Kluyveromyces lactis: one gene and its partners. The main gene of each other region encodes a partner of the protein of the gene in region 7 in a complex. Links are inferred from orthologs where the notes say so. Each region holds a gene or a part of one and is shown on either strand. Other genes may lie near its edges.

What was found.
Region 1: the proteins of CFT2 (region 7) and CFT1 are in contact, whole or in part, in a cryo-EM structure (PDB 7ZGQ), measured with the Saccharomyces cerevisiae proteins. The link is inferred for Kluyveromyces lactis from reciprocal best matches to the Saccharomyces cerevisiae genes CFT2 and CFT1. Residues at the interface, in NP_013216.1 of Saccharomyces cerevisiae: Ile524, Ile525, Ile526, Gln527, Ser532, Lys533, Lys535, Met536, Phe537, Pro538, Phe539, Pro541, Ala542, Lys543, Ile544, Lys546; in NP_010587.1 of Saccharomyces cerevisiae: Lys84, Ile85, Thr99, Leu100, Ser101, Leu102, His103, Tyr104, Ala196, Val199, Ile1277, Asp1278, Arg1279, Glu1280, Leu1281, Gln1282, Gly1285, Leu1286, Asn1287, Arg1289, Met1290, Leu1293, Ala1294, Tyr1298, Gln1299.
Region 2: CFT2 (region 7) and PTI1 share a complex: the UniProt entries of both Saccharomyces cerevisiae proteins name them as parts of the cleavage and polyadenylation factor (CPF) complex. The link is inferred for Kluyveromyces lactis from reciprocal best matches to the Saccharomyces cerevisiae genes CFT2 and PTI1.
Region 3: CFT2 (region 7) and PAP1 share a complex: the UniProt entries of both Saccharomyces cerevisiae proteins name them as parts of the cleavage and polyadenylation factor (CPF) complex. The link is inferred for Kluyveromyces lactis from reciprocal best matches to the Saccharomyces cerevisiae genes CFT2 and PAP1.
Region 4: CFT2 (region 7) and SSU72 share a complex: the UniProt entries of both Saccharomyces cerevisiae proteins name them as parts of the cleavage and polyadenylation factor (CPF) complex. The link is inferred for Kluyveromyces lactis from reciprocal best matches to the Saccharomyces cerevisiae genes CFT2 and SSU72.
Region 5: CFT2 (region 7) and FIP1 share a complex: the UniProt entries of both Saccharomyces cerevisiae proteins name them as parts of the cleavage and polyadenylation factor (CPF) complex. The link is inferred for Kluyveromyces lactis from reciprocal best matches to the Saccharomyces cerevisiae genes CFT2 and FIP1.
Region 6: CFT2 (region 7) and YTH1 share a complex: the UniProt entries of both Saccharomyces cerevisiae proteins name them as parts of the cleavage and polyadenylation factor (CPF) complex. The link is inferred for Kluyveromyces lactis from reciprocal best matches to the Saccharomyces cerevisiae genes CFT2 and YTH1.

The regions. Positions count from the first base shown.
Region 1 is NC_006039.1:880,217-885,308, reverse strand, and holds the start of CFT1 (cleavage/polyadenylation factor CFT1), read left to right. Parts: upstream 1-2,003; coding exon 2,004-5,092. Other genes in the region: PIH1 (Pih1p), read left to right, coding at 1-278; PRO1 (glutamate 5-kinase), read right to left, coding at 409-1,665. UniProt on the Saccharomyces cerevisiae protein: RNA-binding component of the cleavage and polyadenylation factor (CPF) complex, which plays a key role in polyadenylation-dependent pre-mRNA 3'-end formation and cooperates with cleavage factors including the CFIA complex and NAB4/CFIB.
Region 2 is NC_006042.1:1,903,899-1,907,902, forward strand, and holds PTI1 (cleavage polyadenylation factor subunit PTI1), read left to right. Parts: upstream 1-1,578; coding exon 1,579-2,823; downstream 2,824-4,004. Other genes in the region: KLLA0_F20504g (sphinganine kinase LCB4), read right to left, coding at 1-531; UGA1 (4-aminobutyrate transaminase), read left to right, coding at 3,739-4,004. UniProt on the Saccharomyces cerevisiae protein: Component of the cleavage and polyadenylation factor (CPF) complex, which plays a key role in polyadenylation-dependent pre-mRNA 3'-end formation and cooperates with cleavage factors including the CFIA complex and NAB4/CFIB.
Region 3 is NC_006038.1:1,161,293-1,166,146, reverse strand, and holds PAP1 (polynucleotide adenylyltransferase PAP1), read left to right. Parts: upstream 1-2,208; coding exon 2,209-4,005; downstream 4,006-4,854. Other genes in the region: dynamin-like GTPase VPS1, read right to left, coding at 1-404. UniProt on the Saccharomyces cerevisiae protein: Polymerase component of the cleavage and polyadenylation factor (CPF) complex, which plays a key role in polyadenylation-dependent pre-mRNA 3'-end formation and cooperates with cleavage factors including the CFIA complex and NAB4/CFIB.
Region 4 is NC_006040.1:1,644,100-1,647,552, reverse strand, and holds SSU72 (RNA polymerase II subunit A C-terminal domain phosphatase), read left to right. Parts: upstream 1-1,655; coding exon 1,656-2,279; downstream 2,280-3,453. Other genes in the region: cysteine protease ATG4, read left to right, coding at 1-1,223; GUD1 (guanine deaminase), read right to left, coding at 2,360-3,453. UniProt on the Saccharomyces cerevisiae protein: Component of the cleavage and polyadenylation factor (CPF) complex, which plays a key role in polyadenylation-dependent pre-mRNA 3'-end formation and cooperates with cleavage factors including the CFIA complex and NAB4/CFIB.
Region 5 is NC_006041.1:533,774-537,576, forward strand, and holds FIP1 (cleavage polyadenylation factor subunit FIP1), read left to right. Parts: upstream 1-1,981; coding exon 1,982-2,869; downstream 2,870-3,803. Other genes in the region: transcription factor IME1, read left to right, coding at 449-1,084; BUD4 (Bud4p), read right to left, coding at 3,083-3,803. UniProt on the Saccharomyces cerevisiae protein: Polymerase-regulating component of the cleavage and polyadenylation factor (CPF) complex, which plays a key role in polyadenylation-dependent pre-mRNA 3'-end formation and cooperates with cleavage factors including the CFIA complex and NAB4/CFIB.
Region 6 is NC_006042.1:759,995-763,561, forward strand, and holds YTH1 (cleavage polyadenylation factor RNA-binding subunit YTH1), read left to right. Parts: upstream 1-1,970; coding exon 1,971-2,603; downstream 2,604-3,567. Other genes in the region: protein phosphatase 2A regulatory subunit RTS1, read left to right, coding at 1-646; FUN14 (Fun14p), read left to right, coding at 1,248-1,754; lipid-binding protein PIL1, read left to right, coding at 3,460-3,567. UniProt on the Saccharomyces cerevisiae protein: RNA-binding component of the cleavage and polyadenylation factor (CPF) complex, which plays a key role in polyadenylation-dependent pre-mRNA 3'-end formation and cooperates with cleavage factors including the CFIA complex and NAB4/CFIB.
Region 7 is NC_006041.1:1,062,023-1,067,240, reverse strand, and holds CFT2 (cleavage polyadenylation factor subunit CFT2), read left to right. Parts: upstream 1-1,706; coding exon 1,707-4,145; downstream 4,146-5,218. Other genes in the region: KLLA0_E12035g (uncharacterized protein), read right to left, coding at 1-1,070. UniProt on the Saccharomyces cerevisiae protein: RNA-binding component of the cleavage and polyadenylation factor (CPF) complex, which plays a key role in polyadenylation-dependent pre-mRNA 3'-end formation and cooperates with cleavage factors including the CFIA complex and NAB4/CFIB.

The DNA of each region.
Region 1 (5,092 bases), on a different chromosome or scaffold from region 7:
TACAAAAAAAAAGTATATCATATGAACTTAGTATGGGCAAACCCAAAGACACCTCAGAGTTTCTCTTAAAGATAGAAGTGACCTCGGAGCTTAACTCTAGTCTTGATTACAATATCAAATATGATGCTAAAAGTAATAAACTCATCATAAAGAATACTAATCTAGGTATTTATCCCGAGAAGAAACTCAAGGTTCCATTACCTGATATATTTAATAATCCTCCAAAATTAGAGTGTTTCTTTGTGAAGCCTGAGCGCAGATTAATAATATTTTTATAAAATCTCAATATGGCCGTATATATATATAAATTGATGCAAGATGTTCGATTATCTATATATGCTTTTATTAAAGGGCTACGTGTATGAGAGTTAAACGTAACATGTAAAGTATATTTTCATTCACTTTAGGTTAATGAGGAGGGAATGCTAAATTTTCCCTATGAGCTACGTATTCACTATCAGCATAGCCTAGAATATCTTCAATCTGATCACTTTGCAGACCTTTAATTTTTGATAACTCTGTGCTTGTATAGTTGCAACGAGCCCTACCTACTGTTTTCAGTGCAACGGATTTATCCAAATTTCCATCTGAATCCCTGACTCCCAATTTTATATCTATACATTCATGTTCATGGAAGCTCCCTTGGACTTCAATAACGCCTGCAGGTAACAAACCAGCTTTGTTTTTCCTCGTTAACGCTTCGTATGCACCAATGTCTATAATTACAGCGCCTTGACTGACGAGTCCATGAAGCATCCAGAATTGTCTGTTCTTCAAGTGATGATGATTACTATTGGCAATAAACCTAGTATGAAGAGGAACATGATTATTAACTAAACTTTGCATCTCAGTGAGTTGTAGGTCAGCCAAATCTTGTGTAAGTTCATTCACGCCATCGTCCCTTTCCTGCATGTAGAGAACAATTTTGGAAATGTTTTCTGGAGTGTCGCTCTTCATAATGATGGTATGGACACCAGCATTGGTTGCTAATTCTGCCGCAATAAGCTTAGTCTTCATACCACCAGTTCCAACATCTGATCCAGATCCACCGTCTGTGTTCACACCTGGCAATCCTTGTGATATATCTGGAACAACCAAGATAGGTTTTGCATCGGGATTTGCTCTTGGATTATCAGTGTATAAACAGTCAACATCTGTCAATAAAAATAGATAATCAGCACCAGTCAACGCTGCTGTGATAGCTGATAATGTATCATTATCACCAAATTTGATTTCGCTCACAGATAAAGTGTCATTCTCATTAACGATTGGCACTACTCCCATGGAAAGTAATTCACTAATAGTATTCTGTGCATTCTTATACTGAGTCCAATCAACAATGTCATTTCGAGTAATTAGGATTTGAGCAATTCTCTGATCAAATTCAGAGAACAAGGAATCCCACCTCCCAATTAATCTGCCTTGGCCCACAGCTGCGATTGCTTGCACCTTGGATAGTTTCTTTGGCCTTCCCTTCATATTCATCGTTTTCAATCCGACGGCGATACCTCCACTAGATACAATGATAACTTTGTGTCCTCTTCTGCGTAACTTTACCACAGTCTCCACAATCAATGACATGATAGAAAGTTTTGGTTCTTTGGTCTCTTCATCAACTAGTGATGAAGATCCCAATTTTATGACTATGACGAACTGCTTTACCATCTGAACTTGTTGGAAAACGTTCTTCTTCTCGCGGTCCGTAGAAACCTTTGGTTACAGAAATTTCAGGCCAGATTGACTAATAGCTGCTGCTCACAGACAGTACACTATGTTTATATCTGTTTTGCAGATGCAGTTATTCATCTTTTCAAATGGTCTGCAGATGTCATCGAAACATTTACTTTCAGTTTCTGTGAATTTTTAAATATTCACCGGTTCTTCAAAATATAGGTAACTATCATTACTAAGAACACTGGAAACAGACGAGCGTAGGTGGGCATACTAGCACTCTTCAGTCACACCTGAATCTGAAACGTTTAAATATCGGGGATAGATAATAAATGAACGTTTTTGACGAGATATTGCAACCCACTGTGGTTAATAAATGCTTACATGGGAATTTTACGTCAGCGGAAAGGGAAGAATACGTTGTTGCAAGAACCAATGTTCTCTCTGTATTCAGGGTCTCGCGAGCACAAAAGCTTGTACTTGCATATGAATGGAAACTAGCAGGTAAAATCATAGATATGCAATTACTGCCCCAAATTGGATCGCCTCTTAAGATGCTTGCAATACTTTCGTCGAAATCCAAAGTATCGTTGGTAAGGTTTGACCCAGTGGCAGAGAGTCTTGAAACACTAAGTCTGCATTATTATCACGACAAATTTGTCAATTTAAGCACTTCTTCTTTGAAGACGGAGTCCATTATGGCAGTGGATCCATTGTTTAGATGTCTTCTGGTTTTTAATGAAGATGTTTTAGCTATATTGCCATTGAAACTGAACACAGAAGATATGGAAATTGATGAGGATGAGAACGGAATAAAAGAGCCAATGGCTAAACGCTTAAAAAGGAACCAAGGAATCACATCCGATAGTATAATAATGCCAATTTCTAGCCTTCACAAGAGTCTCAAGCATGTCTATGATATAAAATGGTTAAATAATTTCAGCAAGCCAACTGTGGGAATATTATATCAACCGGTACTTGCGTGGTGTGGAAATGAAAAAGTACTTGGAAATACTATGAGGTACATGGTTTTGAGTTTAGATGTCGAAGATGAAAAAACCACCGTGATTGCTGAGCTTGCAGATCTTCCGAACGACCTGCACACCTTGGTTCCACTGAAGAGGGGATATGTGTTGATTGGTGTCAATGAATTATTATATATCAGTGCATCTGGTGCACTACAATCGTGCATACGATTGAACACATTTGCAACGTCTTCAATCAATACAAGGATAACTGATAATTCTGACATGAATATCTTTCTATCAAAGAGTTCAATATATTTCTATAAAGCTTTGAAAAGACATGATTTGCTTATTTTGATAGATGAAAACTGCAGGATGTACAACATTATTACAGAATCAGAGGGTAATCTACTTACCAAATTTGACTGTGTACAAGTACCGATTGTTAACGAGATCTTCAAAAATTCAAGATTGCCGTTGTCGGTATGTGGTGATCTCAACTTAGAAACTGGCAGAGTTCTTATAGGTTTTCTCTCAGGTGATGCAATGTTTCTGCAACTTAAAAACTTGAAAGTGGCATTTGCAGCAAAACGACAACTTGTTGAAACTGTTGATGACGATGACGATGAATACAGTGCACTTTATGGAGAGTCTCAAAATAATACTCACACCAGAATCGTCGAAACACAAGAGCCTTTCGATATATCATTGTTGGACTCCATTTTCAATATCGGTCCTCTAACATCTCTTACTATTGGTAAGGTCGCATCTGTTGAACCAACTATTCAGAGACTTCCCAATCCTAACAAAGATGAATTCTCAATTGTAGCTACATCTGGAGTTGGGAGGGGATCTCACCTCACTGCATTGCATTCCACTGTCCAGCCCCACATAGAACAAGCCTTAAAATTCACAAGTGCGACCCGTATCTGGAATTTGAAAATAAAGGGAAAAGACAAGTATCTTGTGACTACAGACGCTGATAAAGAGAAAAGTGATGTATATCAGATTGATAGAAATTTTGAACCTTTTAGGGCGCAAGATTTTAGAAAAGACAGCAGAACCATCGGCATGGAAACTATGGACGACGATAAACGTATTTTACAGGTAACTTCAGGAGGATTATATCTATTTGATGTTGACTTTAAGAGGTTAGCAAGATTAACTATTGATATCGAAATTGTTCATGCGTGTATTATTGATCCATATATTCTATTCACGGATGCTAGAGGTAACATCAAAATTTATCAACTAGACTCTAAAAATAAAAAAAAATTCATCAAATTTAAGCTTCCAGAGGCTCTCAATGAAATTATCATCACATCTGGTTCCATTTTCAAGAGTAACATTTGCAACAAATTCCTACATGGATTGGAAAACTCTTCACAAGAACAGCTTCTCTTCACATTTGTAACGGGCGACAATCAGGTTATTTTCTTTACCGAAAAGCACAATGACAGGATATTTCAGTTAAATGGTGTCGATCAGCTAGAAGACATGCTTTTTATAAGTACGTATCAGATTCCTGAAGAAATGAACCCGGACCCATCAATAAAGCAAATCATGTTAAACAGATTGGGCCATCATAAGAAAGAAGAATTTCTAACTATTCTTACGTTTGGTGGGGAGATCTATCAGTACAAGAAGTCGACAAAGCACAGCGGTAAACTCTTAAAATGTAAATCCCATCCTCTAATTACCGGTGCTCCTAACAATGCATACCCTCAAGGAGTTAATAAAATAGAAAGGGTTGCTCATTACTTCCCTAACTACAATGGATATTCAGTAGTATTTATTACTGGTCAAGTACCATATATCATAATCAAAGAAGATAATTCGGTATGTCGGATATTCCGGATGACTAATATACCTATTGTCACAATGGCTAGGTGGGGTAAAAACTCTGTGATGTGCGTAGATAATATTAAAAATGCAAGAGTAATGAAATTAGATCCTGAATGTTATTATGGGAATACTCAGATTCTTAGAAAAATCATTATTGAAGATGTTGTTGAGGAATTTGAAACTTTAGGAAATATTGCGTACCATGAACGGACCGGAATGTATATCATCTCCTATACCAAATTCATCGAATATCAAGCTCTAAGTGAAGATGGTGAGCCCCTTGTAGGTTACGATCCAAGCAAACCAAATAGTACTGGGTATAAATCTGGACTTCTTTTGATCAATCCACTCACGTGGAATATCATTGATCGGCTTGACTTGTCTGAGAATTCCATGGTAAACGACATTAAAACCATGCTCATTCAGTTGAACTCAAAGACTAGAAGAAAGCGGGAGCTGGTCATTATCGGAAGTTCTTTTGTAAAAGAAGAAGATCAGCCTAGCACTGGCTGTTTACTGGTTCTGGATATAACAGAAGTGGTGGCCGAACCAGGCAAACCAGATAGTAATTTCAAGTTTAAACAGCTCTTTGAAGAAGAAATTCGCGGATC
Region 2 (4,004 bases), on a different chromosome or scaffold from region 7:
TTTGTTTCTCTTAGTGTTTTTATAACTTCTATTCAAGATCTCTTCTGCCACATCAGTTCCCATATTAGGAAACACTGAAGTATCGACGCTCAATTTTATTGTTTTTGGGACTAAATGGTTCCTCCTTGGCTTTGCAAAAGTGACTTCAATCAATGCAGTATGATCCGGCCATGGGGAACCATCATCTTCTGCTTCCATATTCGTGACATCAAGAATCTTTGCGTAAGGAATAACCGTATTTGAAGGTAGCAGCAGAGCTTCATTCTCATCTTTAGATTCCGTGTCGCTGAGACAAGTAACACAACTGATTAACGAAGCTGTTTCAAAAACACTAGATTGGAAGCTCCCAGAAGCATCGCCGTCTTCGTCATCCTCGTCATCGCCGAAATCACCTCCATTACTTCTGCGTGCCAAAAGCGTCGATGAGCTTGTTGAAGGACCGGACGTAAATTGATCTTTAATCAATAAACCATTTTCGCCAATGATGGCTCTTGTATAGGGCAAATGATACTTCCTGCTCAGCTTACTCATTATTCTTGCAGCCCTCTGTTTCCTTTTTCTCAGATGAAGGGAAATATCTGAATCAGACTCTGATCTCTGTTTGGACCACAACAGTTTTGGCAACTCAACAAGAATAATTAACTACCTCTTTTCCACCTTTACGTGAAAATAACGCAAAACAAAATCAAAAAAAAAGAGACTGATTCAAAATTGAGATACAGTCAAACAAGATCAATGACTATGTCTTCTGTTATTCTCTGATGAATCCTCTTATCAATACCTAGCTAATAAATCACAGGGGGTATGTTTTCGGGATGACGGATATATTACTGTTCCTTTCAGTTCAGTTCGATTTAATTTGATATATCTAACTTGAAAACGGAGAACACCAAATCGTTGTCATAAATATGATAAATGGAAACGTTTCTTGGAAATGATAATAAAGTATAGTACTATCCACCAGTTAAACTAGAATTCTCACAGACAAATTCTCTAAACAAATTTCCTAGGTTCACGATGCTTATATAAGAACCGATGCGCAATGCTTTTTTTATCAGACTGTCTTCTTGTCTAGATAACAAACCACGAGAGTAGATCCTTAGAACAATTTTCTTAAATAGTAGAGGCTTGATTAACAATACTCTGGCTGATATTGGATGTGGACAGAACAGTTTCTTATTCATCAATCATATCTTTACGTTTTAACTTCGAAGGCTTCCTGATTTTCGATTTCATGTAAATCTAAGAAATACAAAACAAAAGAAACATCAGTTGGCACGTGATATATAATCAATTATTACCCGGATATTGTTCTTATATGAATGTTAACTTAAAAAGATTCTAAGCATCGTTAAAGACTAACGGCCATACTAATGAATTAAGAAATCTGCTGTCGACTAGAAAGAATGAATATGTAATTATGTATGTTCGTAACGATTCATTGTGAGGCAAAATAATACTAGTTACTAGACACCAGTCAGATATTTGCGATAACAAGTTTGCAATTTAGAGAATACATATATATATCGAAACGGTGAAATACTCTTAAGTTGGTTTCTAACTAAACACAGTCAAAGTATGCATGACCCACAGAAGGATCCTCGTACTAGGAAAAGCAGGCATGAACTGACCCCGCACAATCTTTCATCTACCATACGTTTTACTGACATACCTGCTCAGTGGAACAAGGATAACTTCACATCTGTGATAACTGGTTCTGGATATATAGTTGACGTTAGAGAGAAATACGTGGATGAGGTCGAAGAAGCAGGAGAACGAGAAGGGGGAAAAGGAACTGGAGCTGGAGCTGGAGCTGGAAGTGAAAGAGGATGTCTTGAATGGGTAGATGTAGATTTCAGGGACTCTTCCTCCGCCAATAGGGCCCAAAATTCAATAAATAAGATAAACCATTTCCCATGTAGGATGTCCATGGTGATTCCCAAAGATTGGAAAGAAAAGTTAGAGAAAATAGACCAACTGAAACCGTTAGAGTTCACAAGAGACAATTTTCCCTGGGATTACAAATTAGAACTACCGTTTGAAATGGTAAGTGAGGTACCTTTACCAAGAAAGCCGTTGCCGGTGGTGCAACCAATAACAAGTGACGCAGGAAGCACACTATCCTCGGAGAATAACACTGCATCTACGAATGCTGCCTCGGATAACCTTGCCTCGAAGGCGAACGAGGCACCGGCACAGCAGATAGAGATCCCAGAGATCTTAGCACGGGCATCAAAGCATCTACCAGCATACCAACCGGGCTCGATGACTGCACCGGATGTGGTATCTCAAAATCTATCGAAGATTCCTACGTTACAAATGATCGAGATTCTATCAAACTTGAAGATCTTAGCCAACCAGCATAACAAGAAGCCACAACTGGAACAATTCTTGAAGACTAACATTGACTTAACGGTAGCTGTCACTCAGGCAATGCTAGAAATGGGGTTGATAAACTATCACGTGATATCAAATGTTCTAGGCCAAATGCAGGGCCAACATTCTGTTGGACCCACGCCTGCCGCAGCCGCGCCTACAGTACCAACTCTGCCGCCAGTTCAACTACCTGAGCCGTCTGTACCCCAGACGGCTCAAGGCATTAACAGCGGTGGTAACGGTACTGGTGGTGATATTACCACCACCGCTACAACCAACGCTGCCAACACCCCACAGCAGTTCAACGAGGCAAAACTTTCGCTACTGCCGCAAGATCAACAGAACATGATCAGAACTGCGCTTTCGATGCCCATAACGAACATAATGGCTCTTCCACCAGGCCAGCAACAACTAATACAGCAACTCAAAAACGACTACCTTCTATAGATAATAATAATAGCAATAACAAGAAAAATACATAGCACAATTCCTATCTCTTAGTCATCCATAATGGCTCGAAGGCTTTCTTTCTATCTATAGTGTATACCACCGTGTTTCCCAACCTAAAAGTTCCGCGCGCAAGTTTTCCTCTTTAACGACTTGGCTCATACAGGAAACTGAAAATGGAAAAAGCTGAAATAACCGACATTTCAAAACAGGAAGATGTCAAATGCATGCGGCGAAATGAAGGGAAACGAACGTCGAGGGAAATGTCTAAGGAAAGCGCAAAGGGAAAGAAATGCCGAAACGATTGGGCTACTATTCGAATGTTTTGGCGGTAGCTGCCGCCCTCCACAGCAACACGGAGCACTTTGTGTCAGGATCCTTTGGAGAGATTAGATAGATATTTGTTTATGTGCGTGTGTAAAAAGAAAAACTTGTCAAGTCCTCTCTTGCAGTAATCCGTTTCTGTTTTCAGTATGTTATATCAGGTATCATCAGTGCCGATCTGAGCTGATAAGGAAGGAAGGAGGAAAGGAGGGAAGGAGGAAGAGAGGGCAGAAGAGGTTTCCGTCGCAGTTTCACCGACCTATTCGTTAAAATACCTATTCGCTGCTCTTAATTTTTTGAATGGCGCGCGGATAATTACTACAGCGTAAAACACTGTGCTTATTGAGCTTAGAGATCAATGAAAAAAAAGTGCTTATGAAATTAAAGCAAGGCGATTCTTAAAGGGAGCGCGGGACTATACAGATGAGGTGCACATGAATCATGGGAAAAAAAATCGTATATAAATCCATGGGTAGATTGTTCTCTCTGAACTAGAGGAACCAGTTTCTATAATTTACATGTTGTTTGTAATTGTGTTTTTAGTTTACACCCAGTCCACAAGCACAGAGTAATCATTTGAATTAGGAAAAGATGTCCGTTGCTGCTAAGTACTACCCAAACGAACCAACTGAACCAAAGGTCGTTACCTCAGAGATTCCAGGTCCTGAGTCCAAGGCTAAGGTCGCTTCTCTAGGAGAAGTTTTCGATTCTAGACCAGCTTATTTCGTTGCTGATTATGCCAAGTCTTCTGGTAACTACATCGTTGACGTTGACGGTAATAAATTCTTGGATGTTTACGCCCAAATTTCTTCCATTGCTCTAGGTTACAACAACCCAGCTTTGATTGAAGCTGCCAA
Region 3 (4,854 bases), on a different chromosome or scaffold from region 7:
CTCTTATCGGTCTCCAAAACGATCTCTTTTCTAATTTCGTTAAAGTTGAAAAGCTTTTTACCGGGCAAATGACCAAACTCACCCCATTCTTCTGCATTGTCTTCATTTTGACCACCATTGGCTGCACTGTTATCCAAATCTAACAGCTCTTCTGTAGCATGCTTAGTCTCCTTCTTGACCCTACGGTTGATCAATTGTAAGATCAATGGTCTTCTGGTAACAATACCGGTACCACGAGGCAAGAAATCTCTACCGACAATGTTTTCCAACACAGAAGATTTACCAGAACTTTGAGAACCAACAACGGTAATTTGTGGTAAATCAATCGGAGTCTGAGAACCGCCGCCTAATGGAGCCAAAGCATCCTGTAACTTATTGATCGTAGCAATCAAACGTTCATCCATGTTGCCAGTTTATTTACTCACAGTATTGGGCTTGATCTCAATTACAATTACAAATTGAGAATTCAAAATATATCTCTGACCTAACCGATTAACTTTGGATGTAGTAAAGGTATATATAAAAATAAATCTCTCTAGATATTTGGAATATCTCTCTCGAGTTGACTAGAATTGATTTTGATTTGATGTTTTTCTTGTTTTTCCCCTTTTTCGCCACCAAAAGTTAGAAAAAACCAAGTATTACCCGGAAATGGTTAGATCTGCCAATCTAACTGGATCCAGATCGTATCCAATAGATAGCACAGTCAGTGAGCCTATTTAGCCAGTAGCCTCTTATTCAAATTAACGGGGAGAAGAGTTTCCAAACGAACTACAAGGGCCCATATAAAGGCCGACTTTCACTGTCAATGGGATAGTTTTCTTGTTTTTTTCGGATGCCGTTACAGATCTACACACGAAATACAAAGGTTTTGTAATCATCAAATATCTTGATTCTTCCATATCTGGATTTTCGTTTATATATATGCATATACTTCCAATTGAATTATTGTTGGATAAGATTTACAGGAAATTGAACATACAATTTGCAAATTCAAGCTCGCTCATTCTTATGATTGGGGTCTTTCACGTAATTATTGATTTTTCCTGGGTCTTGAAATCGATTTTGAATTTTTCTGGCTTTAAAAATTTAGTACAAAATGAAATAATATAACAAAGTGTGAACTTTTGAACTTACTATACCTTTTATTTGGTTTGAGTGTGTGAACAGGAGAAGCTAAAGTTAAAACCAACACTACATATCCCTTTGGTCCAAACTTGCCAGTACCTTCAAATTGAACTTCTTAATTCTTTCATTCGCTGGACACTCCTGAGACAGAATTGGTAAAGGAAAGAAATAAAGGGAAACGGAATTCTCAGACAATACAATATTAACTGGCTGATTTTTTTGTCTACACACATATACACACAGTCTCTCTCTATCTGAATATAACTGGATAGTTTGTGCTAGTTACGTTTTTAGTTCAAATTAGTGACGAGCACATCTTTTGATATTGGTCACCTGTTACCAACAACAACAACAACAAAAGAAGTTAGTGTCAGACTCACAAATACTGAAAAAAGCCTTTGCATTGGAACTTTGGTGTATTAACTCTCGGAGATTATACACATCCGACACTTATTTGATTATCCTCATCACGAATTAACTTGTGAGGAGTACTTTTGACGGTTCTTTCTGATCTAGGAAGACGTAGCAAGTCAAAACTCATTCAGGTTGTCGACTTCAGTACAAGACGCACAGGTTTTCAAGGACACTTACGATAATTCAAGGACGGTGATTGGCGACCAGTTGAATTCAATAAGCTCGGATCTTGCAGGGCTCAAGGTTTCCGGTTGTGATATCACTTCTGAGGTAGTACTAGGTGCAGTAGGGCTAATAGAAGAAGAAGAGGAAGGGGGAAAAAGTTCAGAATCTGATAGTGTAGGATCATCTCCCTCCAGACAAAGAAACCGGCATTTAAATCTCAATACAAGCCGAAACACATATCAGCATCATTTGCAACATCACCACCATTATAATCAAAGACAGCAGCATCAGCAACAATATTTCAATCAGCCAGGGCTACATTACGTTTATTATTCACCGGCTAACTCACCAACATCGTCTCCAATCTCAAAGAAGTTTCAGAACTACATTCCAAGAAGACAATCCGCGGACAGCCTTTTAAATACCGGGGGAAGTGATTATCTGGATAGAGCAAGGAATAGAAATATACCAGATTACAGAAACAAATATTATCCCAATACAATGTCCCAGAAAAAGATCTTTGGTGTAACGGGCCCGATTTCCACGGAGGGTCCCACTGCTGCCGAAAACGCATTAAACGATTCATTAATTCAACAGCTTAAGAAAGAAGGCTCTTTCGAAACGGAGGAAGAAACTGGGAAGAGAGTGGCAGTATTAGAAATCTTCCAAAAATTGACACAAGAGTTTGTATATCAGGTTTCAAAGAAGAAAAACATGTCCGATGGTATGGCTCGTGATGCTGGTGGTAAAGTATTTACCTTTGGTTCTTATAGATTAGGGGTCCATGGTCCAGGTTCCGATATTGATACGTTGATTGTGGTACCTAAACATGTATCCAGAGAAGATTTCTTTACCGTATTCGATGCTCTGTTGAGGGAAAGACCAGAACTTGAAGAAATTGCGTCAGTTCCAGATGCTTTCGTCCCAATTATCAAGATCAAATTCAATGGAATCTCCATCGATTTAATCTTTGCTAAACTAGATTTACCCCAGGTTCCAATAAGTTTAACTTTAAGTGATAAGAATTTGTTAAGGAACGTTGATGAAAAGGATCTAAGAGCGTTGAACGGTACCAGAGTCACCGATGAAATTTTAGAATTAGTGCCTAATAAAACATCTTTCAAGATTGCATTAAGAGCTATTAAGATATGGGCAAAGAGAAGAGCAGTATATGCAAACGTCTTTGGGTTCCCCGGTGGTGTCGCATGGGCGATGTTTGTGGTAAGAATCTGCCAATTGTACCCTAATGCATGCAGTGCGGTAATAATATCAAAATTCTTTCAGATTTTATCACGTTGGAAATGGCCACAACCTGTCCTATTGAAGCCAATCGAAGATGGTCCTTTACAGGTCCGCGTGTGGAACCCCAAAATATATGCACAGGATAGATCCCACAAGATGCCTGTGATTACACCAGCGTACCCTTCAATGTGTGCTACCCACAACATCAGTGAGTCAACTAAGAAAGTGATCTTATCTGAATTACAAAGAGGTGTAGAGGTCACACAAAAGATTTTCTCTAATGAACTATCATGGGAAGATTTGTTCAAGAAACACGATTTCTTCTTCAAGTATAAATTCTACCTAACGGTTATGGTCTCAACAAAGGGTTCCGACGAACAACACTTGAAATGGAGTGGATTCGTTGAAAGTAAGCTCAGATTGTTGGTCCAAAAACTAGAAGTTTTACCAGGAATCAATCTGGCGCATCCATTTATTGAACCATACGAGTCCAGCTATATATACAATAATGAGGATGAATATAAAGAGATCATGAACAACTACGGTACACATAAGACAGAAGGTGTATTGAAAAAGTTTACAAAAATAACTGATGCAAACAAAGACGATGAAGCCTCCAAAAACTCTAATCAAGTTCACATAGCCACGATGTTTATTGGACTTGACATCAACACAGAAGAGAGTAAAAAAATTGATATACACATTCCATGTCAAGAATTTTTCAATTTGTGTCGCTCATTACCCGACTATGAGGACCCTGAAACGTATTCTTTAATCATCAAGTATGTGAAAGTGCATGACTTACCGGATGAAGTCTACCAAGAGGGGGAAACACGTCCTGTGAAATCCAGCAAGAAGAGGAAACCGGAGAAAAGTGGTGAAAAGAGTAAAAGACCTAAATCCGATCCGTCCAATGGCAAGTCTACTACTACTACCAGTGGCAACACCAATTCTTCTTCCCCAGTAAATGACGCTAATTCCACTCCATCATCAAATGTCCCAGCAAACAGTAATACCAATGCTATCACCGAAGACCCAATGACTGCGACAACATAGAAAGTCTTACGATCCGTTCATACTACCTCTTCAGGGTTCGCATAATGCATCATGGCCAAGGCAACGTGAGTCTCCCCTCAAGCCTTAGCCCCAGTCATTAACAAAAGTTTCTCTACATTGAACGCGACACATAAACTCAACTTTCCCACTAGATAAACTAAGTAAAAAAAAAAAAACGTCTCATATCACAGAAAAGAACAGATCATTACTATAATAGTGAAGCTGTCCGCCACATACCCCATTGTTTTGCATAAACCTACCATCTCTAATCTGAATATTTTTGTTCTATCATCAAATATGTTTAACTGGTACTTATTTTTAGTCAGCTATGTGCCTTATCTTGATACATAATTGACAGATGCGGACAAAAAGAGTCAAAGGAAAACCACAAGAGATAGAAGGTTAGCCAGTTAGACACTGATAAAATCCGAGAAAACAAGACGTTACCGATACCCGAACAGTATCATCTGGTTCAGCCGCTGTTGATTCAACAGGCAAGTTCCTATTTCAAGTTTAACTTACAAATACACCCATAGTGATGAAAGAAAGCCACACTTTTCAGTAAAAGAAAGAAGCAACGTGACAGAAAGAGATCGAGTAATGGGAGTGAAGGAAAAGAAACAAGAAGTTGAAATTTGAAGGTAACTTAGGTAACAAGTGTCTTGTGAAGGGTTTTTATCTGTCAAAGAGGTTCAAGAAGCCATTTAAGGGCCATTTTCGAAAGGCTACTTTCTTTCATTTCGCCCAGCACTTGGATTTTGCTTTCTTTTGACGCAATTATTTCGTTTTTCCTCTTTGTACCCTTGTTTCTTTGTATTAATTATTGTGCCATCGAGCTAATTCGGTTTT
Region 4 (3,453 bases), on a different chromosome or scaffold from region 7:
ATGACTCGGCCTTGGAAAGCCTGATAAATATCGTCTCATTAAATCCTGGACTTTTGTCTGACGTACATTCACGAGTGTTCTTCACATACCGCACACAGTTTACCCCTATCCGCAGAAATGAGAATGGACCATCTCCTATCAATTTTACCCTTTTTTTTAGAGATAATCCTATCAACACATTAGAAAATGCTTTAACTGATCCTGACAGTTTTTATTCAGATATTGGTTGGGGTTGTATGATACGCACTGGGCAGGCTCTTTTAGCGAATGCCATTCAAAGAGTCAAGCTTGCCAGGGAGTTCAGAATAAATGCTTCAAGAATAGATGATAATGAGTTAAATCTGATCCGTTGGTTTCAAGACGATGTCAAATATCCTTTGTCGTTACACAACTTTGTCAAAGCAGAAGAGAAAATATCTGGAATGAAACCTGGGCAGTGGTTTGGGCCAAGCGCAACAGCCAGAAGCATAAAAACATTGATTGAAGGGTTTCCCCTTTGTGGAATTAAGAATTGTATAATTTCAACTCAGTCGGCAGATATATACGAAGATGAGGTCACAAGAATTTTTCATAAGGATAGGGATGCTAATTTACTTCTGCTGTTTGCTGTCAGGTTGGGTGTTGACAAAATCAACAGCTTATACTGGAAAGACATATTCAAGATTCTCTCATCACCATATTCTGTCGGGATCGCAGGCGGTAAACCCTCGTCATCATTATACTTTTTTGGATATCAAAATGAAAATCTTTTCTACCTTGATCCACACAACACTCAGCAATCTTCTTTAATGATGGATGATCTTGAATTTTACCGAAGTTGTCACGGACACAAATTCAACAAATTGCATATATCAGAAACAGATCCGTCAATGTTACTCGGTATGTTAATTTCAGGTAAGAATGAATGGGATCAGTTTCATACTTATTTCAGAGATAGTCAAATTATTCAATTTTTGACAACCAGGCCAGAAAATGATTTATATCAAAGTGCCAATATGTCTGTCGGTTCTGATTCTATTCACTCATTGGAGTCAGACATACAGGACACTGGAGAATACGTTGATGTTGGAACATTAGTTTCTGGCAAACAAATGTCCTCCCCGCAACCAAAAGATGAAGAATTTGAAGATGTTAAATGCAAAAGCCAGCGAATAATCGTCTGCGAAGATCCAGCTGATCCTGAAGTTGAACAAGTTCTTGTCGAGGATTCATCCTCCTGCTGACTGCTGTATCTTCCTCATTCTTTGTTTAAGATATTATATTAAATATTAGTATCATTATATAATATGGATCCTTCGGCTGTCAAGCACCTAATTCAGCCACAAATAAGGACAGGCTTTGGTAATCGGGTGTAACGGAAGTGACCTTGAACTTATACTAATTACCAATCTATAATTCTATTAAGATTATTACAAGCGTCGCATTTCCGGGTAATATTATTATCTAGCTGCACATTGATAAAATTGACTTTGTTAAGAGCTTCAATGAAAGTTACAAGATATTCATAATTGGTAACCGAAATGGTAGACAGCCCATACTTGCATTTCATATTCAATTATTATAACTCTCATTTTCATACAGTGTTGTCTGCTTAGTGCTACCAGAATAGATAATTTGACTAAAAGTTATTACGAATCTAAGAGGAACTATTAGGCATGAGCGAATCAATGAGAAATAGCGGGCTTAAGTTCTGTACTGTGTGTGCATCTAACAACAACAGGTCCATGGAGTCCCATAGGGTATTGGAAGAGGCAGGGTATGATGTTTCTAGTTACGGTACTGGAAGTGCAGTTAGACTTCCAGGTCTCTCGATAGATAAACCAAATGTGTATTCATTTGGTACGCCTTATGATGATATATATAATGACTTGATTTCTCAAAGTGAAGATAGATACAAGCAAAATGGTGTATTAGAAATGTTAGATCGTAACAGGAAGTTAAAAAAAGCTCCTGAGAAATGGCACGATGGGAGAAAGGTTTTTGATTTCGTTTTTACCTGTGAAGAAAGGTGTTTCGACTCTGTGTGCGAGGACCTGATGAATAGAGGTGGTCAGCTTAATCTAATTGCACATATTATCAATATCGATATCAAAGATGATAATGAAAACGCTAAAATTGGTGGGCGAGCAATATTAAGATTGGCAGATATGCTAAGAGATAAAGTTTTTGAATGTGAGAAAAACGGAACTCAATTTGAGGATTTTATAATGGATGTCTTCACTGAATGGCAAGAGAAATATCCAAAACTACCACTAACTTATTCTGCTGCATATTATTAGTTCTATTTCATCTTGAGTTATATATCATGCTATTCTTGTTTTGCATACTTATTTCGATGGAATTGTAAGCTAACGATTAGTTAAAGATTTTGATGGCACAATTTTCCACGGACCCAAACACTTTTAACATTCCTATCATCACCATTAAATAACCATTTTGCCACAATATTCTCCAGTTTGATTCTATCCTTCCCGTTCGGTTGAATTTTGTCGTTGGTAACTTTTTGCCATGGAAAAATGGATACGTTGCTTCCTTTGGTGGATAAATCTATCAATTGTGCGTCAAACTCTTTCCCTACGTCGAAACTACCAATTTTATCAGACAGATTTAAAACTTTAGCACCACCCATGGTAGCTAGATACAATACTTCGGCGACAGATAGTTTGCATTCCTCTTTTCTTTCAGGATCTTCTACTGACATTGCTCGATGTCTGGAAACTAGTAAAGCTTGCCTAGCATTTTCCAAAATACTGACTGTAAAACCACCGGAAACATCAGACCCTAAACTCACCTTCAACCCATAGTTTAAAAGTTCTTTAACTCTACATTCGCCTGAAGTTAGAGAAGAATTGGAAATTGGGCAATGTGATATTCCTGCTGAGGATTTCTTTAATAATTCGATTTCAGAATCTTCCAAATGAATGCAATGAGCTAAAACAGTTTTCCCATTTAATAACCCATGTTTATGATACACGTCGGTATATGAATGACAATCCTTGAAAAGTTCTTTAACAAAGGCAATCTCGCTGTCATTTTCATTCAGGTGCGTTTGTATTGGTAAATCAAATTCTTCTGCTACCTCAGAAAGAGAGTCCATCAGTGCAGATGAACACGTTATCGCAAATCTTGGAGTAATAATTGGTTTTATCAATGGTGAGTTTAAGTCCTTGAGTATGTATTCAATGAGATCTAATGAAGCATCTTTGCACTCCTCAATAGTCTCTTGGTAGTAGCTTGGCGAATGTTGATTCATGCAAACTTTACCAATAAAAGCACGTTGGCCTTTACTTTTGCATAGATCCGCCATTATTTTAGAAGAGTTTGAGTCGATTGTGGTAAAGTATGACGCGCAAGTGGTACCATGTTTCAAAGTTTGAGATATAACAGCATCATAGGTCAAAGCGGCGATATTTTCATCATTCAAAGATGATTCGAGTGGGAAAGTATATGTAT
Region 5 (3,803 bases), about 530 kb from region 7:
CAAATCAGATCAGAAAAAAAAATTATTTTTTTTACAGTTAATACCGCCCTTGTTTCATGCTACGGTTCTATCTGGTAAATTCTTGCATTATAATTAACTAGTTAATTAGTTTTATTAGTTTATCCCAGTCTCAATATTGTTTTTACTCCTGTTTCCACCTTGTTTCTGGATCTAGATGTAACTGGGCATGATACGATATGACATGATTTAGGGTTAATTTGGGAATTATTTTAGGATAAATCTAGTTTTATCTAACTTTAGTATATGCAGTTTGAAGTGGAATGCTATCTACCAAGCTTATATATAGGTCTATCGTTTTTGAGGCTTTTGACATATTCTTGTCTGTCTTTCTTTTTCTATCGGTTGCCTCATTACCGTGCATAAAAAAAAACTGATAGTGAAATACTAACTGGTTACCATAGAAGCTTAATATACTTTACCCAATACAATGCACTGCGAGCTGGATATTTCTAGCTATTTGAAACTGGACGACCTGCAAGAATGTGGAGTTAACATGGAATGGCATGGTGAATTGGCACTTTCTGATCTCGAAGATGATGTAAGCCTTGATTTTCATGAGAAGCATGTTATCAGTCGACACGATTTACAGCCAAGGTCCATCCATATGCCGTCGATGATCCATACTCAGCCTGTCCATTTGATTCACGTTCACAATTTGAAATTTTTACAGACGAGTTTTGAAGAAGAAGATGAACAGAGAATTATTTGTTCTTCTTCTACACCACCTTCACTGGCTGACACAAGACACAGTTCTGTTTTCTCTTCTACAAGAAGTATCAACGTGTTACTGGAAGAAGACGAGCAAGATTTGGACAATGACTTGCAGTGCATGGCTCCAGTGAAGAAAAAACAGCAACGTGCATTGGTGGCACCCATCATGTTCTCCTCTTCATCTTCAAAGAAAGATTCGGTCGTTTCGGAAAAGGATCAGTTTGTTTACACGCTAACTAACAAGTTACTACCTTATTTTGGGTATTTCTTGGCTGATTCTAACGATTTGGATTATTTCGATAAGATTAGATTCCAAGAAATTGATTACAAGTTCTCCAAGACGTATTTTTGATGGAACAATCCTCATCCTTTTATCCAGATATTATTTTTCCCCCTTTGCTATAGACTGCCTGTATGATACACCTGCATATTTTTTTCCTTCTTCATCATATTTCTTACATTCATTCCTTTCTAATTCTCTACTTCATTTCAAATTACCTTCCATTTTTTTTTTTACTTTGTTTCTGTGGGTGCGGACACAAGGTGACCATGTTTAGTCAACCTTACAGGTCCCATAAACACTTCAAAAAAGAACATTCACTTCTCAATTGCAGTTTACAATCGACTTTTTTGAACATTCATTCTCAACAATGTCTGACTCTTTTCAACACATTAAAGACACTCACTCGCCTGTAATGTTTGTTTCCTCTGTTGTTTTCTGTCAATTTTTTTAATTAATTCACACTTTTACTCTGAAAAAACAGGACAAAGTATTATGCTTCGTCAATAAGATGCACTTTTTTCTTTGGTTTCCCTTGTTACTTTTCCATATCTTTAATTCTTACCATCGCATATTCTTTCAAGTTCGTTAACATCGGAAATCGATACTGTCCGCAACATGCACATCTAATTCTTCTGTAAATCATGTATTCTCATTAGCTACACATTTAACCCATATTATACATTCCGTCCAAACAAGCTGAGTCGCTGTCCGCTGTCCGGTGACAGATATTCATTAGAAATGTTTGTCATTGAATACGACAATAATTTACCCGGATATGCGTCGATTTAACAGCATCATTTTGGTAAATCTTAGCATTGAGAGTTAACTATTAGTTGATTTCTATATGAGAAGAAGAACTATCTTCCTGTTAAGATACCTTTTGGGTTGCGCAGCCTTCCAAACTTTCCAAGCATTTATTGATAAATCTTCTACCAGTCCACGAACGACATATAGAAACGAATCGTTATGAGCAGTGAGGATGAAGACGATAAGTTTCTATACAGCGATGAGGAGGATTCTAACGTAGTCGCAAAGCAAGAGGGTCCTGCATTGAAAAGACAAAAGGTCGAAGAAACACCCAAGATACTAGCTCATGATGTACCGGAAGGTAATACGAATGAGGTAGAGAGTGAGGCCTCCAATCAGGATAGTTCATCAGATGAGGATGACAGCAGTGACTCAGATTCAGATGTTGAGATTATCATCGGAACTGGTAACGATACCTCTAAGATAGATTCTGGTAAGTCCCAGATATCTGCTATAACAGACACAACGCCTCTTGGTACAGCGGATCATGCTATTGCAGCAGTGGCTGGTATATCGGACGTGGTTCCTGTACAGGAGGGTTCAATACCACCTGAACAGCAGCAGCAGCAACAACAAACTATTGATTTGAACCCGGATGCACAATTCGATGGGAAACCTATAGTACAGATCGATCCAGAAATTCTAAAGGAGAAGCCCTGGAGACAACCAGGAGCGAATATTTCAGATTATTTCAATTATGGATTTAATGAACAGACTTGGATGGAATATTTACATAGACAAGAACATTTGACGAAAGAATACAACCCACAAAAGATTTTGATGAACCTCCTAGCTTTACAGCAGCAAGGAAAGTTAAATGATCCAGGTTCAGGACAACCTGTACAGAATACAATCCAACCTCCTCCTCCGCCTATGGGACTTCCCCCCATGTTTGGTGGTTTCCCAGGATTTCCATTTCCGGGTATGATGAATAACATGCAAAATCAAAATGTATCAAGCATGAACAACATGAACAACATGAACAACATGAACAACATGAACAACATTAACAACAACAACAATAATAATCTCAACGACAAGAAATGAAATTTAGTGCTTGAGGCTCGTATTGATTGCAAGCAACATTAATGATATATAGCGGACATGTACATGTATTTTCGATTCCTTGATGGAATTGTAACACAGCTTAGTTTTAAAGACCTCATGTTGACATTTGTTATAATTAGAGAAATGACATTAATATACTATACTTCAAAAAAAATGGCAAAGACAAACTATATATCTGAATACTATAACAGTTTAAAAAGTAATGTTGTATTGTTCGTTTTCAAAAACTCTTTTGATCCATGGTTGATGGAATTTATTCAGTTCAACAACGCTGGTCAAAATTTCAACCCATTGTTGTTTTAAAAGATTAGAATCAGCGTTAAAATTTATAACTTCATCATTTGCAAAAAGGAGTTTGAAGCAATCGCTGAAAAGTACCATATCAGTAAAGTTTCTCATTTGTTTTCCAGTTGCCGTTTTACCATCAGAGTATATATCTACTACGTTTAGAAGATTCAACAAAGTTTGTGGTTTTCTGGTAACTTCGTCATGAGCTATAAGTTCAGTGCCTTTCAAAATCATATATCTTCTTTTCAACATTCCCTCTACATCACCGCCTTCTTGCCACAGGAATCCTTCATTATTGACCCTTTGCTGTTCAAGATACTTCTCGCAACACTTCTGAACTGCCTTCAGATTCTTTGGGAATCTTTCCATGGACGAAGTTCTTGGAAGATACATCACATCAACTGTAAGAGAGCAAACCTTAGATGGATTTTTCCGAGGAAGTTTCCATAATTCGTCTTCTTTATATGTTTGTGCGATTTTCTCATCAAATTCGCGCTCCCATTCATTGAGGAATTCAAAGTGTAGCTCATTTGTTTTGTATTTGATTTGTTTCAGCATATTTTTATTGACATTTACCTGGCAGCGTGCAAATGAACCATCCTTTGCGAATTTGAAGTCCCAATCG
Region 6 (3,567 bases), on a different chromosome or scaffold from region 7:
TTCTTTATACCATCCGCAACTTGCATACTGTATTGTGCAATTTTTGGAAAAGGAGCCTCTGCTTACGGAAGAAGTTATCATGGGATTACTACGTTATTGGCCTAAGATCAACTCTACTAAGGAAATTATGTTTTTAAATGAGATTGAAGATATCTTTGAAGTAATTGAGCCTCTGGAATTTATCAAGGTAGAGGTGCCATTGTTCGTTCAATTAGCAAAGTGTATTTCTTCGCCGCATTTCCAAGTAGCAGAGAAAGTGCTAAGCTATTGGAACAACGAATACTTCTTAAACCTCTGTATTGAAAATGCGGAAGTGATACTTCCTATAATTTTCCCGCCCCTATACAAACTAACCTCACAACTGGACAAGAATGATCCGTTGAGTTTAGAGGATGGTGATAATGGTGAAGATCCGTACTTAATGGTCGAGCAAGCCATAAATTCCGGCTCATGGAATCGTGCCATTCATGCAATGGCTTTCAAAGCATTGAAAATTTTCCTTGAAACGAACAATGTCTTATACGAAAATTGCAACGCACTTTACATATCTAGTTTGAAAGAAAACAACAGACGTCAAAAAGAGAGGGAAATGAACTGGAAACAATTAGAGGATTACGTTTCGAAGTTGAAGATCGCAGAAAGTTGAAAAAAAGTGACCACTATCATCCTTACGGACTCACCATCACCAAATCATTATTATCGTCTTCATTATCATCATCATCACGGTAAAAGTTATGTATATACTTATATCTACGCGTCTTTTTCACCGAACATAGAATTGTTTCCGTATATATCAGTAAACGACAAATGATTTCCAACCCAAATAGGAGGCCTTAATTTACATATAAAATAGTAATAAAGGTACTACTTGACTGATAACTTGCCGCTTATCACTTTCTAACTGACAATTCTATATATTCTTTTTTATAATGACTGTCACCCAAATCCTATTCTTTTCAGCATGTTGGGTTTTGTATGATTCTTAAATTTCAACATCGGTTGAAAAAAAAGGGTCGCAGGCTCCATCGTCAGTATGGCTATATAAAGAAATATTGAGAAGTACGTGCAAATTGCTATTGAGTTAAGAAAACGACAATTCGTAGACAAAATCACTGTTTATAATTTAATCTTTCGATAACGAAGAAATTCGGTTAGAAATCAGTCTCATTTAGTTCAACTCAGAATTGTGTTTTATATCCTCGAGTGAAGACAGACCAATCGACATAATAGGTAAAGAATTAGGAAAGATGTTCAGAACAGCAGCAAGAAACCTTGGCGTGCCATTAAGAAGAAGTGTTTATGTTGGATTCAGCGGTAGTTTATTAGTCGGTGGTGGATCGTTGTTGCACTCGATGCAACCAAGCTCATATATCATGAACGATTCAATTGTTGATGTTAAGCAAAGAACGAATCTACCACAAGAGCTTGGATTGCCAAGCCGTGTTGATATAAGTTCGAAGCAAAGAAGAGTCAACTACAGACAAATGTGCTACGGGTCAATTTTAGGTCTAGTGTTCGGTGTTATCTTTGGTAAGATATCAAGTCTTCTCGTGTTCATCACCGGGGTTGGATTCGTTGGGTTACAATTCTTGCAGAACAGGGGAGTTATCAGCAGTGACAGCACTCGTTCTCTTTCCAAATACGTTGTGACCATCGGCCGTGAGAGGATTGATTTGAACACATTGATCTGGGACAAACCCAGCTTCAAAGTCTCATTCATCTTGACATTTGTGCTAGCTGCACTTAACGTCTGATTGGTTCCGAGAACGCTACCTTATTCAGTTCACGTGACTTTTTCTCATGTGAAAACCCAGAATATCCTATAACGTTATATTTAAGAATTAGTAAAATAATTATTGTGTGTAACTCGCTTGTAACATGATTAATTACCAATCATCAAAGACATTTTCATAAACGACTGGTAGGCTACATTAGACTGGGTTGTCAAGGAGATAAGGGAGTTTAAACTAATGAGTATAGTTCATCCAGATACCTCGAAGTACGAGTTTAATTTCGAGCCATTTCTACGGAAAGAATATTCGTTCTCGTTAGATCCAGATAGACCGGTATGCCAATACTATAATTCAAGAGAGGGGATAAAATCCTGTCCCAACGGAGCACGCTGTCCAAACAAGCATGTGCTACCGATATTTCAGAACAAGATTGTTTGTAAGCACTGGCTCCGAGGTCTCTGCAAGAAGAACGATCAATGTGAATATTTACACGAGTATAACCTAAGAAAGATGCCCGAGTGTGTATTCTTCACCAAGAACGGGTACTGTACACAATCACCGGAGTGTCAATACTTGCACGTAGATCACAAGAGTCAGTTAGAAGAATGTGAGGATTATAATATGGGGTTCTGTCCATCGGGACCTGCATGCACGAAGAAACATGTCAAAAAGGTACTTTGCCCCAGATACTTGGTAGGGTTTTGTCCACTGGGTAAAGATTGCGACTGGTCGCATCCCAAATTCAAAGTACCTTCAGAACACAGCAAACTGCGCATCAAGAAAGACGAGCATATTAATACAAGAAAGATGGATGAGGAAAGGGAAAGACGCTTGAATGCCATTATCAACGGTGACATCCTAGTCACGTGACTGAATTTTTTCAGTTTTCATCAGTGCGTTCGTTCTCAGCCACTGCTGCTGTCACTATTCACTATTCAGCTCACCATACGTAATTCGATACAGATACAGATACTAAGTAACATAATACTACACAATGTTACAGCCGGATAATTCTATCAACCGACAGCAAAAGCAACACACCTGAAAAATTAAGGGAACCAAGGCTCACATACCTTAAATTGCTTATCCAATAGGTATCAGACCTCTCAGCCAAAATCATTCGCTGAGTTTCATTTATGGACACGCGGTCGACATATTCCCCAGTATAGAACACTCCATTCCACAGTTTCTTTCGGTTTCTTTTTTTTCTTGCAATACTGATAAGCATTAACCCTGAGAGCGGACGCATGAATGTACACCAGGCAACAGCGTGAGTTCTTGAAGTCAGTTTTCTAATACACCTATAACTGGCACTAGCCAGCTACTGGGATGGCAGTCTCGCATCACAGCAAGGCTGTCGACCGGTACCTCTTCGTCACTTCGTCTCTCCTCTGCTGCTGTCTATGAACCAGCGAGGTTTTGCTCAAAATGGAAAATGAAATTTTCGACGAAAACAAACAGAAATAAAAAAAAGGGAAAAGGGTAAAAAGGAAAATTAATGGAAGCAAGGTTTTTCCAAAGCAACTTCCGGCCACTTTTAGGAGAATTGCCATTGCATTTGGTAATTTATTTGTATATATATATAACACTTCTATATTTAAAAGTAAGGTTACTATTGTGATAATAACACGCAAGCTATTAATATTGAACATACGCTCAGTTATATAGAGTTCATTTGATCGAGTAATAGTTAAAAAAAAAGATAAAGACACCATATATTACAACCATGCACAGAACATATTCTTTGAGGACTACCAGGGCACCAACTGCCTCTGATTTACAGAATCCACCACCACCACCATCTTCTACCAAGAGCAGATTTTTCGGTAAGGGT
Region 7 (5,218 bases):
GACAGCATGTTTGAGATTTTGAATATGATTGTATCAACGTAAATTGAGTTTGAATAAACCAAATCTTCCCATTCTGTATTCACTGGACACCTGTAAGACCTTAGGTTCCCAAAAGCACAATCGATGAACTTGACGTTACCCCAGACACTGTTACTAAATTCGACACATAGGGATCGAATGTTGCGGCATTTGATGTTCTTGAAATTGGCTTCTGAACACATTGGGGATGCCCTGATTGTCAAAGATTCTCTCACGAAGGATCCATCAACAAGATCCCTTTCAGTGTTACTATTGTAACTGACGAGAGTTAAATGGTCGCATGGTGGTAATACAACTCTCTTTCCTGGTGGCACTTGGAATTTTTCAATCGTTTTAAGCAGGGGACAGTATTGTAGATCATCGACTATTGTAGTGTTATCCTCACATTGCAATTGATTCACTGTCATAATCCTAGGTGCAATCACTTTCTTACCCCTTCTTATGTTCAAAGTGAACAGCGTTTCCACGTCATGTAAATAAGTAGTCTCAAATATCGTGTCGATATCAAACATGTCAACTTCCTGGTGATTAATATCTCGGTTGGCGAATATATGTAATTCACATAATCGTAGTTGGCTTTGACAATGGCTTAGCTCTCTGAAATAGAACTTGGAAAGGAAATTGGTAGTCGTCTTATACATGAAGCATAGATTCTTTAGAGTACCCATCCCACTTAGCCCTCTACTTAATTCACATAATGCCGTCGCCAATGGGTCACTGTAGCAGCGATCGGATACGATGACAATGAGAACGTTGTCAAACTTCCGTAGAAATTCGCTCAACACAGGAAACTTGAACGTATCTGTATTTACGCAAGCGGTGTTTCTCTCATCAGATAACAACTCATAATTGCAAGGATCTGCTAAGGTTTTTGATGATTCCCTATCCAAATCCCAAATCTTCAATACACCAAGCTTGCGCTTTATAATTGTTCTAAAATGTGAACCAACCTTACTCCATGCTAACAGACTCTCTAGACTGTCTAGTCCGCTAGTTACTACACGATCAATAATTTCGATCGGAAGACTCATTACTTTTGTACCCTTAAATCTTCTTCTCCTCCTTCTTATCATTAGCAAATCTGTCAAAAGTGTCAACTAATGCAGCTTATCTTGCACGTTGTAAACTAGGTCCTTATAATTCAACTGATTTCAAGTACGCTGGTATATCCAAGATGCCTTTAGACTTCTTCCAGTGTTTGGGTCAGTTGAGCAATCTGTTCCGTAATCTGTCGCTTTATTCTTTAATATGCTGACTCAACCTCAAAGAACGTTCGGAATACATTTTGACACTTAAAGTACCGATAAAATTGTGGATTTTGTTGCCTATAATTGTAAGCAATGAAATATGTTTGATATTCCACCTACTGGACCGTACCAACCTACAGATTGCAGCAGTATCTCGTCCAATAACAACTTCCCTGTCTCAGTTTGGCCTCTTAATCCTTCTTACTGACATTATATCTCATTACCCGGACATAACATGTCAAAATGATACTCAAGGCATCAACATTAAGTTCATTTAAACAGTACATGCAAATAATTGAAGAATGAAGGATAAAGGAAGAAGAAGAAGAGATTGCCGGCACTGAGGACACCTTTTCCTTTCCCATTCCAACCAGTGGATTCTCATTGTTTTTCAAATATAGAAGTAACTGTGCTCTCAAGATGACATACACCATCGAAACATGTAGGGATGAGAAGAAGCGGTTTGAGGGAACCATTGTACGATTCAACAATGTAATAGTATTATTGGACCCAGGATGGAACGGTGAAGGCAGTTATGAAGAATGTGAAGAGTTTTGGACGCAGTACATATCTGAAGTTGACATTGTTCTGATTTCCCAGCCCACAATTGAATGCCTTGGGTCCTATGCCATGATGTTTAAACAGTTTTTGCCTCATTTTAGGTCGAGAATTCAAGTTTATGGGACGTTACCTGTATCAAATCTAGGCAGAGTCAACAGTGTTGACCTTTTAACTTCAGTTGGGATATTAGGACCGTTTTCTAATGCCGTCATGGACCTAGAAGATATTGAAAGCTCCTTTGACTTGATTGAAACGGTGAAATACTCTCAAACGGTGGATTTAAAGAATAAATTCGATGGGCTCTCATTAGAAGCACATAACTCAGGGTATGCTCCCGGTGGTACCATTTGGACGATAATCACTTCATCAGAAAAAATATTGTATGCGCCTCGTTGGAACCATACAAGAGATACTATCTTGAATAGTGCGGACCTATTAGACAATACTGGAAATCCAACCAGTTCCATGATGCATCCGACTTCTGTAATAACCAACCTTTCTATTATAGGCTCAGCTGAACCTCAGAGGAAAAGAGTAGAACATTTCACTGATACCATGAAAAGAGCTATACAAATGAATAACTCTTTACTGGTACCAGTTGAAGTAGGAGGGAAACTATTGGAAGTACTAGTCCTAGTTAACAATTTCTTATATGAAAATATGAGGGGTGGATTGAAGTATGATATTCCGGTGTTTCTAATATCTTATTCAAGGGGCCGTTCTCTCACATATGCTAAATCTATGTTAGAATGGTTGTCCTCGCAAGTAATCAAGACCTGGGAATCTCGAGACAATCGGTCTCCATTCGATGTTGTATCTAGATTGAGGATTATTACTCCTGAGGAATTGGGAGGTTACACTGGGCAAAAGATCTGTCTTGTTTCCGAAGTTGATGATATTTTGTCACAAACGATAAACAAACTTTGCTCTAAAGATAAAGTAACGATCATATTGACAGAGAGACATCCAAATACCCCAGCACAACATCCCTTACGAAAACTTAATGATAAATGGCAACAAGCAATAAAGAATGGGAGTAGAAGTGCATTGGATGGCAACCCCATTAGCATATCTGATTCGATGTCACTTCGAATCATGAAGAGAACAATTTTAAACAAGAAGGATGCGGAGAAGGTGAGAGAAATGATTAAAACTAGAAATGAGGTAAGAGAGAAAATTATCGAAGAATATACGGCTAAGACCAATGACAAAGCTCAAACAAAAACAATACTTTTTGATGTTGATGATGAGAGTAGCGACGAAGAAGGTGTGGATTCAATGGATGCAAGAGGCAAGAATGGATCGGGAAACGTTAAAGTGGAGATTCCCGTAGATATTACTTCCAATGATAGTGTTTCCACAAATGAAAAGCACCTTATGTTCCCATTCCATCCAGCAAAGCTTAAATCTGACGATTACGGTGATGTGGTCAACTTAAAGAGATTCTTACCACAGGAAGAATCATATGACCAAGCACAATCTTTAAAGCAATCTTATAGTAATAACGATTATGATGAAGACGATGACGATGATACATATGAGGTACTTGATTCGCGGATTAATAAATCAAAGAAAAGAAAAACAGATCATAATCCTAGGAAACAAGAAAATAATGATGATATTTCTTACTTGGACCCATTGAAAAGTGACATTTATAAACGAGCAATTGTGGAAACAAAAGTTAACATTCGTTGTTCTTTGGTATATATCGACTTGACAAGCATAGTTAATGCGCGGTCGATAGCAATCATCTGGCCTGCAATCAAACCAAGAAAAGTCATTGTGCTGCCATCAGCTGCTCCTGTTGATAACCAAGTCGTGGTTAATCTAACAAAGAGAAATATTGACATATTGGTGACTGAGTTCAATAATTCGGTTGAGATGGATACATCTGTCAAGGCAATTGATATTTCTATCGATCCATCGCTCGACCAACTTCTAAACTGGCAAAGAATCAGTAAATCTTTCACTGTGGCACACGTTGTTGGTAAACTATTGACAGAAACTGACCCAAAAGCCCCACATCGGGAGAAGGTTATATTGAAACCGTTAAGCAACCCGTTAGCTTTACATTCTGGAAGTTCTCTAAGAATCGGAGATGTTAGACTACCGGAATTGAAAAGAAGACTAACTGCGGAAAATCATAAAGCTGAGTTCCAAGGTGAAGGTACACTAGTGATTGATGGCAAAGTTTTGGTTCGGAAGATTAATGATGCCGAAACCATAGTTGATGGTTCACCATCGGACGTATTTTACAAGGTCAAATCGGCAGTGTCAGACATGCTAGCCAACGTTTAAATTGTTCGCGGAAGCTTTCTATAAACGTGACATCGACTTAGATATTAATTAATTATAGTAATTTAGCATTGTAGTAAAGCATTTATAGATCAGTTGTAGAGCTGACCAATGGGGTATGTATGTCGGGATTCAAACATCTATTCTAGGTCTGGCATTCTTTATCTGGGGGGGTTAGAGGGCAAAAAATATACTCCGCGACGGGGAATTGAACCCCGATCTCGCACGCGACAAGCGCGAATTCTAACCATTAAACTATCGCGGATCTGTACTTGAGAAATAGAAAAACTTTGCACTACAGGTTCGCTCAACGGTTGCAGAACACTGATTTCGTTGGAACTAGTCATAATGCATGACCGGGTGATACCAATATAATAGGCGGTTAATGATAGTTTTGTGTCACTGACACATAGCAAAGTATATAAACCAGTACTCAGATCTAATCTACTAATTAGTAGGGATCAGATCTACAGACACCAGGTGCATCTAATTCTACTAGGAGATAGATAGCTAATCAAGATGAATTCTTCTAATAAAGATCTGACAAGATCTAAGCCACGTGACATGTACAGTCATATACCACAACAGGTAGCCCGAATATGAAACTCAGAAAATCCCGATATTCCACAAATACGACTCCGTGGCCAAGCTGGTTAAGGCGTGCGACTGTTAATCGCAAGATCGAGAGTTCAATCCTCTCCGGGGTCGTTTAATTTTTTTCCCCTTTTGCTATCTGTTGTTTTTTTTTCCTTTCCTATTTCTCACCTGTTGCAATTTTTCTGGAATTCCCGCTTAAAGATTCTTTTTTCCTCTGAGAAGTCTCTGAGAAGTTTTTTTTGTTTAAAGTTTTTCCCCTTCGAAAAGAGCGCTCGCTTGTTAATTCGCTTGAGAGTTGCATATTTTCTTTATTTTTTTGTTTATTTCATTTACTTATTTATTTGGTTAAATTTCAGTTGTAATTTGCTTTACTTCATACAAGTTTTGTATTTTGAGCAATAAATTTTACACCGTTACACATCTCTTCGCTCAAAAAAAACACAAGCAGCACAACAAAATACATACACATTATCAATTTA